2 linked regions of the Caenorhabditis elegans genome follow. The protein of the gene in region 2 interacts with the protein of the main gene of each other region in a pairwise test. Each region holds a gene or a part of one and is shown on either strand. Other genes may lie near its edges. The genes, in order: iff-1 and dhps-1.

Evidence for each region.
Region 1: the proteins of dhps-1 (region 2) and iff-1 interact in binary tests that used the Caenorhabditis elegans proteins (3 or more experiments, as listed by UniProt).

The regions. Positions count from the first base shown.
Region 1 is NC_003281.10:9,743,093-9,749,505, reverse strand, and holds iff-1 (Eukaryotic translation initiation factor 5A-1), read left to right. Parts: upstream 1-2,312; 5' UTR 2,313-2,352; coding exon 2,353-2,453; intron 2,454-2,900; coding exon 2,901-3,030; intron 3,031-3,074; coding exon 3,075-3,227; intron 3,228-3,273; exon of another isoform or gene 3,274-3,345; coding exon 3,346-3,483; exon of another isoform or gene 3,484-3,513; intron 3,514-3,532; coding exon 3,533-3,598; 3' UTR 3,599-3,644; downstream 3,645-6,413. Other genes in the region: T05G5.4 (uncharacterized protein), read right to left, coding at 46-139, 186-288, 356-469, 513-566; cdk-1 (Cyclin-dependent kinase 1), read right to left, coding at 838-966, 1,014-1,340, 1,392-1,547, 1,596-1,802, 1,853-2,032; T05G5.1 (Prothymosin alpha-like), read left to right, coding at 6,170-6,273, 6,336-6,413. UniProt on the Caenorhabditis elegans protein: Translation factor that promotes translation elongation and termination, particularly upon ribosome stalling at specific amino acid sequence contexts.
Region 2 is NC_003280.10:11,989,091-11,999,510, reverse strand, and holds dhps-1 (Deoxyhypusine synthase), read right to left. Parts: upstream 6,511-10,420; 5' UTR 6,497-6,510; coding exon 6,284-6,496; intron 5,707-6,283; coding exon 5,557-5,706; intron 4,416-5,556; coding exon 4,034-4,415; intron 2,413-4,033; coding exon 2,284-2,412; intron 1,851-2,283; coding exon 1,609-1,850; 3' UTR 1,501-1,608; downstream 1-1,500. Other genes in the region: Y17G7B.23 (DUF281 domain-containing protein), read right to left, coding at 1-57, 127-251; Y17G7B.3 (hydroxyacylglutathione hydrolase), read right to left, coding at 7,675-8,148, 9,166-9,336, 10,338-10,420. UniProt on the Caenorhabditis elegans protein: Catalyzes the NAD-dependent oxidative cleavage of spermidine and the subsequent transfer of the butylamine moiety of spermidine to the epsilon-amino group of a critical lysine residue of the eIF-5A precursor protein to form the intermediate deoxyhypusine residue.

The sequences.
Region 1 (6,413 bases), on a different chromosome or scaffold from region 2:
AAATTATAATGACAGCTGGAAAGTTAGAGAAATGTAATATCTTACTTTTGTTTTCGAATCAAAGTTCCGCTTTCAAAAGCTTGTTGCAACATTTTTCGATTTTCTCTAAAATTCAAATACTGCTCAAAATCCTTGTCTTCTGAAATTTCAGATATTCGAGAGAATGAATAAATATTAAACAATACCTTCCCGGTAATAGTTTAAAATATCTTTCCTAGACTGATTCTTCTCATAAAGATCAGCTTTGTCCATCAAAATAGAAACCTTCGAGTGATGAATGTAAATGTTCTAAACACAATTATTTTGATTTATTCTCTAAATTGTATTTAATCCTATATATAGGGATATATCCTACCGGTCCCAATTCTAATTGACGTGCAATTGGAGACCACGAACGATAAGTGAATCCCCAGTAAAGATCATCGAGGAATTCTACAATCGATGGGAAGAAGAAAATTGCAAGAATAATCTTAATAGCTCCAGTTAGATTAGTTTTCGTTACCTTAGCTTACGTGCGAAATGTTAGACAGAGAAATTACGAATATTGGAATCACTGCAGCGATCATTCTTCAGAATGGAAAAATAATAATAATGAATTCTTAATTCCCTATTCTCATTTACACGTTGAACAAAGTGCTTGAATAAAAAAGAGCATGAAAGTAGAGCGAATTTATTTATCGCGGTGTGAAAAAAGAGATTACTCATGAATATCGAAGGGCCAAATAATCATCGTACAGGTAAAAAGTTGAAATGGTGATAGTTAAACAATACACGGAAGACGATAGGTGGTTAAAGCACGGGAGAATAAATAATAAAAATGATGATGAATGAATTACATCAAAAGAGTTCGAGTTCTCCTCGGTAATTTCCAGCTGGCAGCTTTGACGTATCCATGTTGTCAAAATAAGGATGAACGAGAGCTTTTTTCGCGTTGAGACGAAGTGATGGATCGTAGATCAGCAAACCCTGAAAATATTATTTTACTTGTTAAAGTACTATTTTAGAAATCTTACTTCAAGAAGAGAGAATGCAGTATCGTCCAAAAGGTGCTTTCCAGTCTTCTTGTCGTAGAACTTGTCACGGAGGAAATTCTCACGCCATTTTGGGAACGTCGCCTTGTAGTCCGGAAGTGATTCAACACCATTCCATTCCAACTCAGTCGGTGTGCCGAGAACTCTGAAGATGCGGAACAGCTCATCAATTTCTGAATCTCCTTGAAACAGTGGCTTCTTCGTGGCCATTTCAGCAAAAATGCATCCAATCGACCACATGTCTACGCCCATCGAGTATCTCTGAGCACCCATCAGAATTTCTGGAGCTCTATACCAGAGAGTGACAACCTGAAAACCGGACAATCATTGTATTGGTGTACAGAATGAATGCAAACTCACTTCATGCGTGTAAACGCGAATCGGGATACCAATAGCTCTGGCAAGTCCGAAATCGGCAAGCTTGATTGCTCCATTGTTGTCGACCAGCAAGTTCTGTGGCTTAAGATCGCGATGAATAACACGACGCTGATGACAAAAACACATAGCTTGAAGAATCTGGAACAATTATTCTTGTAAAGACATCGATTTTAAATATTTCCTCACTTGGAATGTGTAACTTTTAAGAGTTTCGAGCGGAAGGTATTCATCTTTTCCCAACTGATCCATGTATCGTTTCAAGTCGAAAGACAGGAATTCGAAGATCAGGAAAAGCCGGTTCTCCTGCATAATGACCGCTTCCAATCCAACAACATTCGGATGCTGGAGCTCTTTGAGCAAGCTGATCTCTCGCACAGCCGTTGATGGAACACCCTATAAGAATTATTGTTTGAAAAAACGAAACTGCTACAAAATTCAAATACCTCATCTTCACTTTCCAATCTGATTTTCTTCATAGCAACCATGGCATTGGTTCTTCTGTTTTTGCCTTTGTAGACGACTCCGTATGTTCCTTCGCCGATTTTTTCGAGCTTCGTGAAATCGTTGAGTGTGTAAACCGAATCTCCCTCGTGGGCCACTTCTCCTTCGCGAATAGGATCCATAACTAAAATTGGAAATGAATTTTGTCAGAACAATTGTAATACAACGATAGAAAAGGCGTAAGCGTGTAATTTTGAATCATTTCCACTGCCGCCGAAAAGGGGGGACAGTCGGTGCGAGACCATTGCTTAGTGAAAAGGCATGCACCTTTGATGACAATTTATTCCGAAAAGGAGAGTACGCGCTGAGAAGGATTGTTGTGAAACATTGCATTCATATGATAAAATTTAACGCAAAACTGTGCAGAAAAGAGAATAAATACAGGCCGGAAAATATAAAAATAACTACTCAAAATAATCATAAACTTGATTTGTTCTACTTTATGAGGCTTCCAACAAAACTAAACAGAGTTTCAAAGAAAAATCGTAATCTTGGCTTCGGAGGGTGGATGGCGAGAGTTGCTGCCCCGAAGACCATAGAGAGGTAATTTTTATTATTTAATTTTACATGATGAAAGCGAAATTTGGCAAGTAAGCAACGAATGCATTTTTAGGAAATTATTTATTCAGATAAATCAAAAAATAGAGCAGATTCCTTGAAATCCTAAAAAAGTGAGGACTTCGATTCTGTCTGAAGATGGAAGTTGGCGCCAAATTTTTGGCTGCGTAGCGACTCATTCTTCATTGTGATACGCAGCCAAACAACGTCCTTTCAAAAAAATTCGCGCATTTGATTTTCTCTCGATTTCTATACTTTTCTCAGGTTTGTACAGTGTTTTTCTTGCTAAGATCAATATTTTATTAGAAATGCATCAAATTTCTCAATCAAAACAATTTTTTCCTGCAAACCTTTTTTTCCAAATTTATTTTTTGAATTTCTCGTTGGAAACTAGTTGAAAATGCTAAAATAATTGATAAATCTTTGTTGCAGTATGTCCGAAGATCATCACGACGAGGAGCAATTCGACTCTGCCGAGTCCGGAGCTGCTGCTACTTTCCCGAAGCAATGCTCGGCTCTTCGCAAGAACGAGCACGTCATGATCCGAGGAAGACCATGCAAGGTAAAAAATAATTCAGTGAATTTTCCTAATTAGAAATTTTTTAGATCGTCGAGATGAGCACCTCCAAGACTGGAAAGCACGGACATGCTAAGGTTCACATGGTTGCCATCGATATTTTCACCACCAAGAAGCTTGAGGATATCTGCCCATCCACCCACAACATGGACGTCCCAGTCGTCAAGAGACGCGAGTACATTGTAAGTTGTTAATTAGTTTTTAAGAAGGCTTTCAAAAAAATCAACTTTGGACGGTTAAACAAATCTTTTGAAAAATGAGTTAATCAGCTGTAAAAAATGTTATTGATCAAATTTTCAGCTCATGTCGATCGAAGACGGGTTCTGCTCGCTCATGGATCCAGAATCTTGCGAGCTCAAAGACGATCTCAAAATGCCAGAAGGAGACTTGGGAAACACTATCCGTGAGGCTCTCGAGAAAGACGAAGGAAGCGTCTTGGTAATTATTTCGACATCCACCTTTTGAATCTGAAAATTTTGATTTTCAGGTTCAAGTCGTTGCTGCCTGCGGAGAGGAGGCTATTCTCGGATACAAGATTTCTACCAAGGAATAATTGCATTTATATACAATTTCATAATAAAAGCAGTTCCAGTTTAATCATCCCGCTTTTTATACATCATTCGAAAAACATCGGGCAATGAACAAGTGCACCTCCGCTGGTGTTGTGTAATGTGGGTGTTTTATGTGTCGTGTTGATTGTGATATCTGCTCACCAAACGAAAATGAATTGCTTGCAAACCGCGGAGGTGACATCTGTCCATGGAGTGTTAAATCAGATTCAGTTGTCAGACTTTGTAATCACAGTTCCTAGTTTTTGGAACTACATGGCCTGTGCAGCTTTTCCACCCTTTGTACACTACACCTTATTGCTTATTGAGTTGACCCCAGGTTGGCCGCGTGCCAATAGAGCTGTTCACTTTAAAACGTGTCCTCCTCCGCGACCTGCGAGCACCCCCTTAACCACGATAATATCTAGGTGCAGTATCAAAGACCCACCTTCCTCAAACCTCACTAGCCATCCTTCCTTCATCAATTGGCAATTTAAAAGAGTCGCATAAATTTCACAGTCACCCAGGAAGATTTCGTAAACTCTACGCTTCCATCATCATCTCGCCACATCTCGCACCTCCTGCCGCGTTTACACCCGTGTCCACTCTTTCATCAGCCTTGATTGTTTGCCTTTCTCCAAAACCACACATATATCCGTCCTAATCTAGATTACTGTAGTCCGTCTCCACCTGTTCTTACTTAAGCTTTTCCTATCTCCGGCTTGCCTTCACATTCGCAAACAAAGCCTGAGAATTTGATGAGTATTTGTTCCATTTGTTGCATCAACCAGCATGTTGTATAACTGTTCATTTTACGATTCCAATAAGTTTTTATGATGGAGTACTGTTAATAGCGTTTTTACTTTAAAATTCTCAAACTGGTTAGCAGACCAATTTTGGGTCTGCTAAATAGTTTTTATAAAAAAACCATTGACAGTACAGCCTCTAAAAAAGATTAAAATAATTTTTGAATTCAGAAAGTTCTTGTTTCATATAAATAAGAGCCATCCCTCTACACGGGTCATCTAGTAGCTCTAGGTCGACACCTGTTCGTAGCAGGTTTTATGAGCTCAACAAAGGTTGTAGGTGAGCCGTGCCAACGTCTCAGTTTCAAATTCCGAGTTGAGTATTACGAAAACCTGGGTATAAAACGAGGGGATGCCGAGAAAAAAAGAGTAGTGGACACACACACACATACGTCTCATCTTCTTATTTCTTTTCGTTTCTTCCCGTCCAGGAGCCACTTGTCGTCCCGTCGTCATTTTGAGTTCCAAATGATGAAAGATTCAATGAATCACGGAGACGCAGGGTCCCGTCGATGGCTCATTTTGCGTGTTTTAGTGGCGGGACACAGGAAGAAGTCGAAGATTCACAACATGTCGCAACTGATTCATCACTAGTGCCTTCTTGCTCCAAGAGCAATGTTTTTCTAATTAGTTTGTACTACTTGATAACTTCTTAAGATTTGTTCTACTACTTTTAAAAATTTGGTTTTGTAGCTAGAAATCCTGAAAAAAAAAACATTTTTGCTATGAACTTTTTTTTGGATATACTTTTATAAACAGCATCTAGAATTAGTTAGAGTACCTGAAAAATCAAAAATACGAAATAGTACTTGTATCCTATGTGCGAAGTTGCACGATTTTCATTGCAAAATTAGGGTCTCCGGTCTCGCGACGACCGAAGAAAATATAAATAAATTGAAATGAAAACGAGTGTGCGCCTTTAAGAAGTACAGTAGTTTTTTTTGAAAGTTTCCTTGAATTTTTTTTCCACTTCAAATTATTCGTTTCGCTTCGAGACCAAGTACCGTAATAGTACCGTAAATTTCGAATTCCTATTTTTTAAAAAAATTCTTTAAACTGAATTTAATCAAAAATCAATATTCAAGTTAAATTTTCACCTTTTTGGTGAGTTTCAATTTCTCGAATGATACAGTAATTTTGAAAAAATAATTTTTTCTTATTTCAAATAATCTAAAAAATAAAACTTCATATTCTTTCAATGATGCCGAAATTTACAAAAGCCATGGTAGTTTATTAGAATTTTTTAGAATTTCATGTCAAAAAATTGGAATAGTTTTCACCTATCATAATTTGGAATTTGTAATTTTGACCAAAAAAGTCCTACGAATTTTGTATTTAAATTCAAGAATCATAGAACTTCGAACCTGCAGGAATGTCCAAAATTGTTAGACTTTAATTTTTTGTTGGGGAATTGTTGGTTTTTTTTTTTGAAAAAGTGTTAGACCTATATTTGTATGAGTACAAATGCTTTAAACATAATTAGAAACAAAAACAATTTAAAAAAATCTTTAATTATTTGGTTGACTTCCAAAATTGTTGAGAACTTGCAATTTTTGGATATAGATGGAACCAATTTCAATTTTTTTAAATAAAAAAGTATTGCTATGATATTTGACAATTCATCTTCTTCTCTGTATTTTCCGTACCCCAATGGTTTGCACTTCAATATAAGTTTTAAATTTAAAAAAGTTGATTTCCTTGTTTCCAAAACACTTCTATGCCTTAAAATGTGATAAAAATATAATAAACGATTCAATATTAATTCAGAAAATGCATTCACGGATATTGTTACTACTTTTGATGTTCGCATTCAATGTCGGCCTAATCAATTGTGGTCAAAGTCTTGTATCACCTCAATCAAACTGTAAAATCAGGTAAAATTACCCACTATTGACAACCACCAATTATATCTTCTTCTTATAATTTCTAATTATAGGTGCGAAAATGGTGGAATGTGTGTTTTCGATTTGGAGCGACCCGATTTTCATTCATGCATCTGTCTTTTGGGGGTCTA
Region 2 (10,420 bases):
CACATCGATGCACAGTTGCCAGAAACAGTACTCACTAAACTATTCGGCGTACCGCATCTGAAATAAGGGTGTCTGGTTGCATTTAAGTTATGCCGCTAGGTGTATGATTATAACATGAAAACGCACTTGTCATCAAACAGGAGATTCGCCGGTTTCAGCGGAAGTCCTGTTGCTCCCCAATCTTCCATTAAGTTTGATGTTGCACACTGGATGCAATCTTTGTCCTGCGCCCGGACTCCCAAAATCCACATCATAAATGTTAACAAAAAAATTTGAATTTTCAATGACATCATTATGCCTTTTTATCTGAAAAAATATTTATATTTAGATTAAATAAACATAAAAAGAATAACAAGAAAAAGGACAAAATTCCAATTGAACGAGCCGGGACAATTGAGCACTCGGAGCACTTCTTTTATACGAAAAATGTTTGTTTGTCTATTAAAGTGACTCAAAAAGTCATAAAAGGGGTTCTGAAATTCTGGAAAAGTCTGAAAAATTCTCAGAAAAAAAACAAGAATTTACGACCGTATAGGCAAATAGTTTTCAGAGAATGTCAGTTTTGAGAAGAGTCATGAGTTTTAGTGTATTATGTGCAGTGAGTCAATTATACAAATAAGAACAGGAAAATACTGTTATAGAATTGGATTTGGTTTTTTTTTTTAATTTTTTAATCATTGTTGCAAAAAAATTAGGAAAAAAACATATATTACGAGAAGACAAAAATCCTGAGAAAGCATATCGCCTAACATATCTCTAAATCTAAAAATATCTCATAGCGAAAACTACAGTAATTTCATGAAGGACTACTGTAGCGCTGGTGTCGATTTACGGGTTCGGTTTTCGAATTTTCTTTAGTTTTTTCGTACTGTTTTGTCCTTTTTTGTGTTTTCTTTCGATGTTTCATCGATTAATAAATGATGCCCGTAAATCGACACAAGCGCTACAGTACAGTGGATGGAAAACGATTTTTTCCGGCCAATCGGCAAACCGGCAAATCGGCAAACCGGCAAATTGCCGATGTGCCGAATTTGCCGGAAAACTGGAGTTTACCGAAAATTTTCGGCAAATTGTAGTTTCGCACTTATGTTTTTGGAAATTTCAGAATATCAATTTCAAATGACAAAATTAAGCGCATCCTATGAATGTTCCTACATCTATTTTGAAAAGTAAGCAAATTCTATGAAAATATGTAGAAAAAACGGGAAAAAAATTCATAAAGACACAGTTTTAAGTGTTTCCTTATAAAAAATCCCTCTAAACAATTCTGGCAAACGGGCAATTTGCCGGAATTAAAAATTTCCGGCAAATCGGCAAACCGGCAAGCAAATTGCCGGATTTGTTACAATTTTTTGAACAGCTAATTTTTTTTTGAACTTTTCAGAAAAAATTGAGGAATTTTTTTGAAGTTCTTTGAAAAAATCTTCAAAAATTCGATTTTTCGAAATATTTTAATTGTTTTCTTGTCCCGCAAATCATTCGTAAATTAAAAAAAAGTAATATTAAAGAATCTGTATTAAGAAAATAACAAACAAGTGAAAAAGTCAACAAAACAGGTAACAATGAAAAAATAGTTTTAAAAATTGGGGGAAAATTTGGCAAAAATTCCTAATCCTTGTGTCCTTCATGTTTTGCAAAAGTTTCAGCAACCAAAAGTGGGAATACAAGTGTCGCCTCAGCATGAACCTTCACAGCTCCAGCCGACGGCTTAACCTTCCCCCAGCTCACTGCCTCGTCGGGTTGAGCTCCAGAATCGGAGCCATCGAATTCTTGGCCGGTGTTGATGTAGACGGTATGATCTGCGCCGTTTCTCATGAGATTCGCGTTGTTGATGTGGTGTTTTACGACTCCTGGAATTGTAGGATTTTTTGACAAAAATGGGGAAAAATTCTGGAAAGCATTTTTTTCAAATTTTGTGAATTTGATTTTAAAAAATTAGTTTAAATTCTTTTTGTTTAAAGTCCAAATTTTTTTTTACATACTCAGCTTTTTTTCAAAGAAATTTTACGTTAAAATTTTCGAGAAATTTTTTTATTTTGGAAAAAACTAGAAAAAAGTGTATGAAAATTAAATTTAACAATAAATTTGGAAAATTGCTTTCATTACTATGGTATTTTCAAATTCAAAATTCAAAGTTTAATTTTTTTCTCAATTTTTTTCAATAATTTTTCAATCTTCAGAAAACTGCAAAAAAAATGTTGGAAAATTCATAAAATTTTTGAGAAAAAATTAATTTAAAATTTCTAAAACAGGGTTTTTCACATATTTTTTTTAATTTCGGACCTCCTCCTAAAATAATTGATCCAGTCTTGAAACTTTTGACAGCAATTGTATTAATATGTCGAACGTCCTCTACAATATCCACACGAAGCCCAGGTGAGCTTTTCACCGAATGGAAGTACAACATGTCACCTGAAAAAATTGACTAAAATAAAAATTTTTTGAATTTTTTTTTCAAATTTCAAAAACTTTAACAATTTTTTGCAAATTTTGTTTAAAAATAATGCAATTTTTTTTTTCGATGCTCTCTTATAAAAAATCCCTTTAAACATTTTCGGCAAATCGGCAAAACGGCAATTTGCCGAAAAAAAATTTTTTCCGGCAAATGGGCAAATCGGCATTTTGCCGGAATTTAAAATTTCCGGCAAATTGGCGGAATTTAATATTTCCAGCAAATCGCTAATTTGCCGAAAATGAAAATTTCCGGCAATAGGCAAACCGGCAAATTGTCGGAATTAAATATTTCAGGAAAATCGGCAATTTGCCGAAAATGAAAAATTACGGCAATCGACATATTGCCGGAATTGAAAAATTTTGGAAAATTTGGCAAATTGCCGGAATTGAACATTTCCGGCAAATCGGCAATTTGCCGAAAATGAAAAATTCCGGAAATAGGCCAACCGACAAATTGGCGGAATTTAATATTTCCGGCAAATTGGCGGAATTTAATATTTCCGGCAAAACGCTAATTTGCCGAAAATGAAAATTTCCGGCAATAGGCAAACCGGCAAATTGTCGGAATTAAATATTTCAGGAAAATCGGCAATTTGCCGAAAATGAAAAATTCCGGCAATCGACATATTGCCGGAATTGAAAAATTTTGGAAAATTTGGCAAATTGCCGGAATTGAACATTTCCGGCAAATCGGCAAACCGGCAAATTGGCGGAATTGAAAATTTCCGGCAAATCGGCAATTTACCGAAAATGAAAATTTCCGGAAATAGGCCAACCGACAAATTGGCGGAATTTAATATTTCCGGCAAAACGCTAATTTGCCGAAAATGAAAATTTCCGGCAATAGGCAAACCGGCAAATTGTCGGAATTAAATATTTCAGGAAAATCGGCAATTTGCCGAAAATAAAAAATTCCGGCAATCGACATATTGCCGGAATTGAAAAATTTCGGAAAATTTGGCAAATTGCCGGAATTGAACATTTCCGGCAAATCGGCAAACCGGCAAATTGGCGGAATTGACAATTTCCGGCAAATCGGCAATTTGCCGAAAATGAAAATTTCCGGAAATAGGCCAACCGACAAATTGGCGGAATTTAATATTTCCGGCAAAACGCTAATTTGCCGAAAATGAAAATTTCCGGCAATAGGCAAACCGGCAAATTGTCGGAATTAAATATTTCAGGAAAATCGGCAATTTGCCGAAAATAAAAAATTCCGGCAATCGACATATTGCCGGAATTGAAAAATTTCGGAAAATTTGGCAAATTGCCGGAATTGAACATTTCCGGCAAATCGGCAAACCGGCAAATTGGCGGAATTGACAATTTCCGGCAAATCGGCAATTTGCCGAAAATGAAAAATTCCGGCAAACCGGCAAATTGCCGAAAATGAAAAATTCCGGCAAATTTGCCAACAAATTCTTTCAAAAAATTCAATTTTTTTTCCAATTTTTCAAAATCTTTGAATATTTTTTTTTGCAAAATTGATAAATTAAAAAAAATCTATTTTCAAAGTTTTTTCGAATTTTTTCTCCAAAATTCGATTTATTTTTCAAAATCCAAATTCAAAATCCCCTACCCAATGACCCATCAGTAAGCGCCGGACAAAATACGGGAATCCGATGCTTGGCCGCCCAATACAGTATCGACGATTCATCACCAATCCGTTCACCAAGCCGTTGAATAAGCTTTGACGGTGTCCAATTGAGATGCTTTTCCTCTTGTTCAACAAGACATTCATCAAGAATTGGCATAAGCCAATCCTCAAATGCACAATAATTATCATTCGGAATGAGCACATTGCCGGCTCGATTCATTCCATTCGATCGAAGTTTTGCACCGTCCATTGTGAATGTACCGAGGTAGGAAGGTTTGAGACATTTGATGAGATCCTCTTCGATGCCTCCCGCTGATGTTACGATACAGTCGACTAGGTTACGTTGGACACAATAGCGGAGTACCTGGAATTTTTAATTTTTCATTTGGGTGGATTTACGAATTTAGAGTGAATTTACGGTACCTTTATGTAGATTTACGGGGAAATTTCAGGTTTTGTGTAGATTTACGAGACGCTAATTTCGGTGTAGATTTACGGAAGTATATGTTCTTGTGTAAATTTACGAGAAATAACAGCACATTGAATTTGAATTTAAAAATTTTTTTAGAGACGGTTTGGTGTGGATTTACGGGGGCATTTTAGTGTAGATTTACAATATTTCTTAATGGATTTAGGCTTCTGGGCCAATTTTAGAATTGATGTGTAGATTTACAAGGAGAATCAGTTCTGTGTAGAATTACGGTGAGCATAGTTTTTGTGGGTAGATTGACGAGAAAGCTGAGTATTTATTTTCCTGTGTAGATTTACGAGAAGTATTAATTTTTGTGTAGATTTACAGGGAAATTGTGTTTTTTTTTGTAGATTTACGAGAAGCAGGATTTTTTAGATGTAGATTTACGACGAATACAAATTTTATTTAGATTTACGGGGAATTTGAATTTCTGTGTAGATTAACCAGGAAATTCCGTTTTTATGTAGATTTACGGAGAAATTCAATTTTGTGTAGATTTACGAGGATCAATTTTGTGTAGATTTACGGGGAGATTCAGTTTTGTGTAGATTTACGGAAAAATATATTTTTTCTTGTGTAGATTTACGGGGATTGGTGTGGATTTACGGGGACATTTTAGTGTAGATTTGGGTCATTTTTAGAGTTGATGTGTAGATTTACAAGAAGAATCAGTTATGTGTAGAATTACGGTAACCATAGCTTTTTAAGGTGTAGATTTACGAGAAACTTTGATTTTTGTTGTAGATTTACTTCATGTAAATCTAATTTGTTGGTAGATTTACATGAAGCACTAGTGTTTCAGGTGTAGATTTACGAGGACTTTCAATTTTTGTGTAGATTTACGGGGAATTTTAATTGTTTTTTCGTAGAATTGCGGGAAGCACTAATTTTTCACGTGTAGATTTACGGGGAAATTCAGTTTTCGTGTAGATTTACAAAGATCAATTTTGGGTAGATTTACGGTAAACATAGTTTTCGTGTAGAATTACGAGGAATTTCAACTTTTGTGTAGATCTTTTGTAGATTTACGGACCTCACGAAGCCCACTGGTCACCAAATTCGACGTGTATCCGAGGAAAATAGTACATGATCTCTTTTGCCGACCTTCTGGATATGGGAAAAGCTTCTCGTCGTCGTCACAAGTCAACGGAGTATCACGGAGGGAGAGCATTTGATTTACTTGCTGAAAATTGGGAAAATTCGGAATTTATTGAGTAAAACAATTTTTTGCTGCTATTTTTCCAAATTTTTTGTAAAAAAAATTATTTTTTGAAGTTAAAATTCTTCCAGAATTTTATTTTAAAAAATCTATAAGTCCGACTATTTCAAAAATTAAAAATAAAAATTTTTGCGATTTTTTCAAAATTTTTTAAAAATTTAACTATAAGTTTAAAAAATTTTTATTTGGAATTTGAGAAAAAAAAATAAAAAAGGTCGACTTTCTCAGAAAATCATAAAAAAAAGGAAAATTTCCGCCTAAAAAATGTAAAAAAGCATTTTCGAAATACATTTTTTTATGATTTTTTTCTAATTTTTTCTTTTTTACATTATTTTATGTTTAAATATAATTTAATTTCAACTTTCCCAGAATTTTTTTTTTTTTTAATAAAATTTTTTTTCGATTCAAAAAAAATCAATAAGTCTGACATTCTCAGAAAATCATTAAAAAACCGGGAATTTTCGAATTAAATTTTTTTTTCGAAATTTTCAATTTTCCTTCTGATTTCCAAATTAAATCTGAATTTTTTGCAACTGGCTACCTGAATAGCCTGAGCCAAATGTGTTGCCTGAAATCCTGTGCTCATATAAGACGAAAGAATGGCGGAAAGCGAGAAATCCGGACCAGAAGCCGTGCTGAAATCGAATCCGCGAATCGGAATTGAACCATCCGGTACTTGACATGATTTCACGAGAACTGCTCCCTGAGCAAGTGCTATATCCTCCTGAGATGCTGCTGCTTCGTTGGTGCTCATTTTGGAGCAAGTTTCTGAAAAATTGAGGCGGGTTTTTACTGAATTTACTATTAGTTAGGTGTAAAATTAGACAAAATATTAAAATTTTTTGAAAAAATCCAAAAAAAAAAATACAATAAATCAAATAAAATATGATTGAAAACTGAATTAACAAAATTTGTACCAAAAAAAATCGGAAAAAAATGAATAAGCATAAATTTATAGACATTTTAGCAGGAAAATAGAAATTAAAACCGGAATGAAATCACATAAAATCAAATCAATTTACAATAAAAATGCCGATTTTTATACAATTTTTTTTAGCAATTTAGATTTCGTAGTTTAGAAAAAATTCAGAATTTTTTTTTCGAAAAAAAAAACAACTTTTTTTTGGTTCGATTTTATAAAGAAAGTTCACAACAAAAAAAAACCAAAATTTGTTTGAAAAAAATAAAAATCATCGAAATTCGATTTTTGTAAAATTTCTCAAAAAAAATCCGTAATTAATTCAAAAATTCTCAATTCGTTTAAAATTTAAATTGTGGAAGTTTTTCCGAAAACAAAAATTCCGAAAAATGCCAATTTTTTGAAAAATTTCGCTTTTTTGGAAATTTTACTTTCGTAATTTTAGAATTTTGTTCGTTTCCATAATTAAAATTTCATTGAAAATCATTTAAATTCTTTTTTTTTTCAAAAAATCTGTAATTAATTCTAAAAATTCTCCCAGATTGTGGAACTTTCCAAAAACCAAAAAGAAAGTTTTTTATTCGAAATTAAGATATTTTTTCTAAATTAAAACAAAATAATTTTTTGATTTCAAAAAATTGTCATTTTTTAATTTAGAAAAATTTAAAACGAATAGAGTATTTTTTGAATTAATTATTTAATTTCGGATTTTTTTTTAAATTCGATCGAATTCAGATGATTTTTAATCAAATTTCAGTTTTTTTTTCCAATTTTGTACATTTTCTGAATTAAAAAATAGTAAAATTCCTCAAATGTTCATTGAAATTTCGAAAAAAAAAATTCTGAAAAAAATTCTTTTGCTAATTTTTTCCATAAATACAAATTACAAAATTTCTTTTAAAAAACACTTTTTCTTGTTTTTTTTTTTAATTTTTTTTCCAAAATTTAGATAATTTTACAATGAAAAAAGCTTAAATTTTCAAGAAAATTATATTAAAAAACCAAAAAAAAAATTAGAATTTATTCTTCATTTCTCTCAATTTGGCCATTCCCACGACCGCATCGCATGTCCCAATCGATTTTTGAATTTCCTCAGATTCCCGTACCCTCATAAATGGATTCGTTGCTTTTTCCTCAGCTACAGTACTCGGAACCGTAAATCCACCCTGCTCAATTTGTCGTTGAGCCCACTCGAGCTTCTGAGCAGCTTTCTCGTTGCCAGGTTCCACGTGGCACGCGAATTTCAGGTTGGCGACAGTGTACTCGTGTCCCGGAAATATTTGGGTCTCGACTGGAAGATTTTTGAGAATTTCGTTGAGTGCCACGTCCATTTGTGGTGCCGTGCCCTCGAAGAACCGCCCACAACCGGCGATGAATAGGGTGTCACCGGTGAAAACGACTCCAGGGGAAGTGGAATCTGCGGCAGGATTTGTGATGTGGTAGCAGATGTGACCGGATGTGTGACATGGAGTGGATAGACATTTTATCTGGAAATTTTAGGAATTTATTAGAGAAAAAAAGGATTTTTAAATACTTTTTAAAGGTTTTTTTTCGGATTTTTTTGGATTTTTTTTTGTTCGATTTTTTTTTTAATTTTGGATTTTTTTTGTTTGATTTTGCAAGAATTTTTTGAGGATTTTTCGGATTTTTTAATACTTTTCAAAATTTTTTTCGGATTTTTTGAAATAATTTTTTTGGATTTTTAAATACTTTTTAAAGGATTTTTTTTTGGATTTTTTAAAAAATTTTTTCGAGGATTTTTTGGGACTTGTTTTGGAGTTTTTTTGGATTTTTAAATAATTTTAAAAATACACCTTTTTTCTGTTTTGGAATATTTTTTTGAAATTATTTAGGGTTTTTTTTTTGGATTTTTAATAATTTTCAAAGGATTTTTTTGTTAGATTTTAAAAGAATTTATTTTGTTGGTTTTTTTAAAGAATTTTTTTTGGAATTTGGAATTTTCTTTTGAATTTATTTAAGAAATTTTTTTGAATATTAAAAAAAATTGCAATAATTAATTGCAATAAAATTTGCACAATTTCAATCATTGTGTCATTTTTGTAAAACAATTTTTGAAAAAAACCGCAATTTTTGATTTTTGTTGAAAATATCTGATTTTAAAACATTTTTTCACGAGAAAATATTCAGAAATTCAAGAAGATAAGGTTTTTTTTTAAACTGGAATTTAAGAAAAACTGCAGCGATTTTTTAGAAAAAAGTTAAAATCTGCAATTTTTTCCGTTTTTTTTGCTGAAAACTGCTAATAAATTTTTTGAATAAAAAATTCCAATTTTTTTATTATACCAACAAAAAATCGATTTTTTTTTTGTAGAAAAAGGGTTGAATTTTCAAAAAATTTTCAGCAACTTCTGGAAACCCCAAGTTTTTTTATTATTTCAAAAAATTAAAATTTCATGCTAGGTCTTCTAAAAAAACCAATATTAAAATTTTGGAACAAAAAAAATTTAATTTTTTTTTCAAAAATCAAATTTCAAAAAAATAACCTGAAGCCCAGCGAACTCTGCCATATCACCATGCTTCACGTGCCGATCCATTGCCGGAATCCTTGAATCTCCACCGAGAATCATGACATTCGGGAATTGACGACGAAATCCTTCATTTCCACCACAATGATCATAGTGGTGATGGGTGGTTAGTACTGCTGTTATATCGATCTGTAGGAGAAAACAAATTAATTATTGACAAAATTTTTATGGCGAATAAAAACTGTTTAAAATGGAAAGTGAATAATGGGAAAAAAATCATTTTTTGGAAATTTTTTTTAATTGAAAGTATTTTTATTTTATTTTTAAATAAAAAAAAATTCTATTAACCCTATATATGCTCCTGATACCGAATATCGATCTAAAAATATTCAAAAAAATTTCCCTGATTTTATATTAATTTTTAAAAATCCGAAAATCCATTGGTTTGTTAATTTCAAACTACAAATTTTGAATGATAACTGTGCCGCAGGTGTGTGGATTTACGAGATTAATATTTTTAATTCATTTTTATTTAATTTTCATACCAATTTTCCCGATTTTTCTATTTTTTCGTTATTTTACATTGAAATTTCTTGTGAGCTCCATGAATTTTTTATTGATAGAAACAAATAAAATTACATGAAGTATTATATTTTCAGATATTTCATTTAAATTTTATTTATTTTTATCAATAAAGTAATAAATTAATGGAAATCACAAAAATTTCAATGTAAAACAACGAGAAAACGAGAAAAATCGGGAAAATTGGTATGAAAATTAAATAAAAATTAATTAAAAATATTAATCTCGTAAATCCACACCTGCGGCACGGTAATCAGTCAAAATTTGTCGTTTGAATTTAACAAATCAATGGATTTTCGAATTTTAAAAATTAATAAAAAATCAGGGAATTTTGTGGAATTTTTTCACATTTATATTCGGTATCAGGAGATTAAATAAGGACTATAAAAATTTTTCAAAAGAAAACAGTTTTTTAAATAAAGCAGTTTAACAGCATTTTTCAAGTTAAAATTATTTTTAGAATTGAAAAAATTGAATTTTTTACGTAATTTTACTACAAAATTGGGCAATTTTAAACTAAAATTACCAAATTTAAAAAAAAATAAATTTTCGAAGCAATTCGCGATTAGATAATTTACTTTCTAATTTTTCCATTTAAAAAAATTCACATTTTCCTTATCAGCAAGCTCTTTATAATCCTCCTCATTCACCAAATCCACCAAAAGAGCCGCTCGTGCTTCTGAGCTCTTCT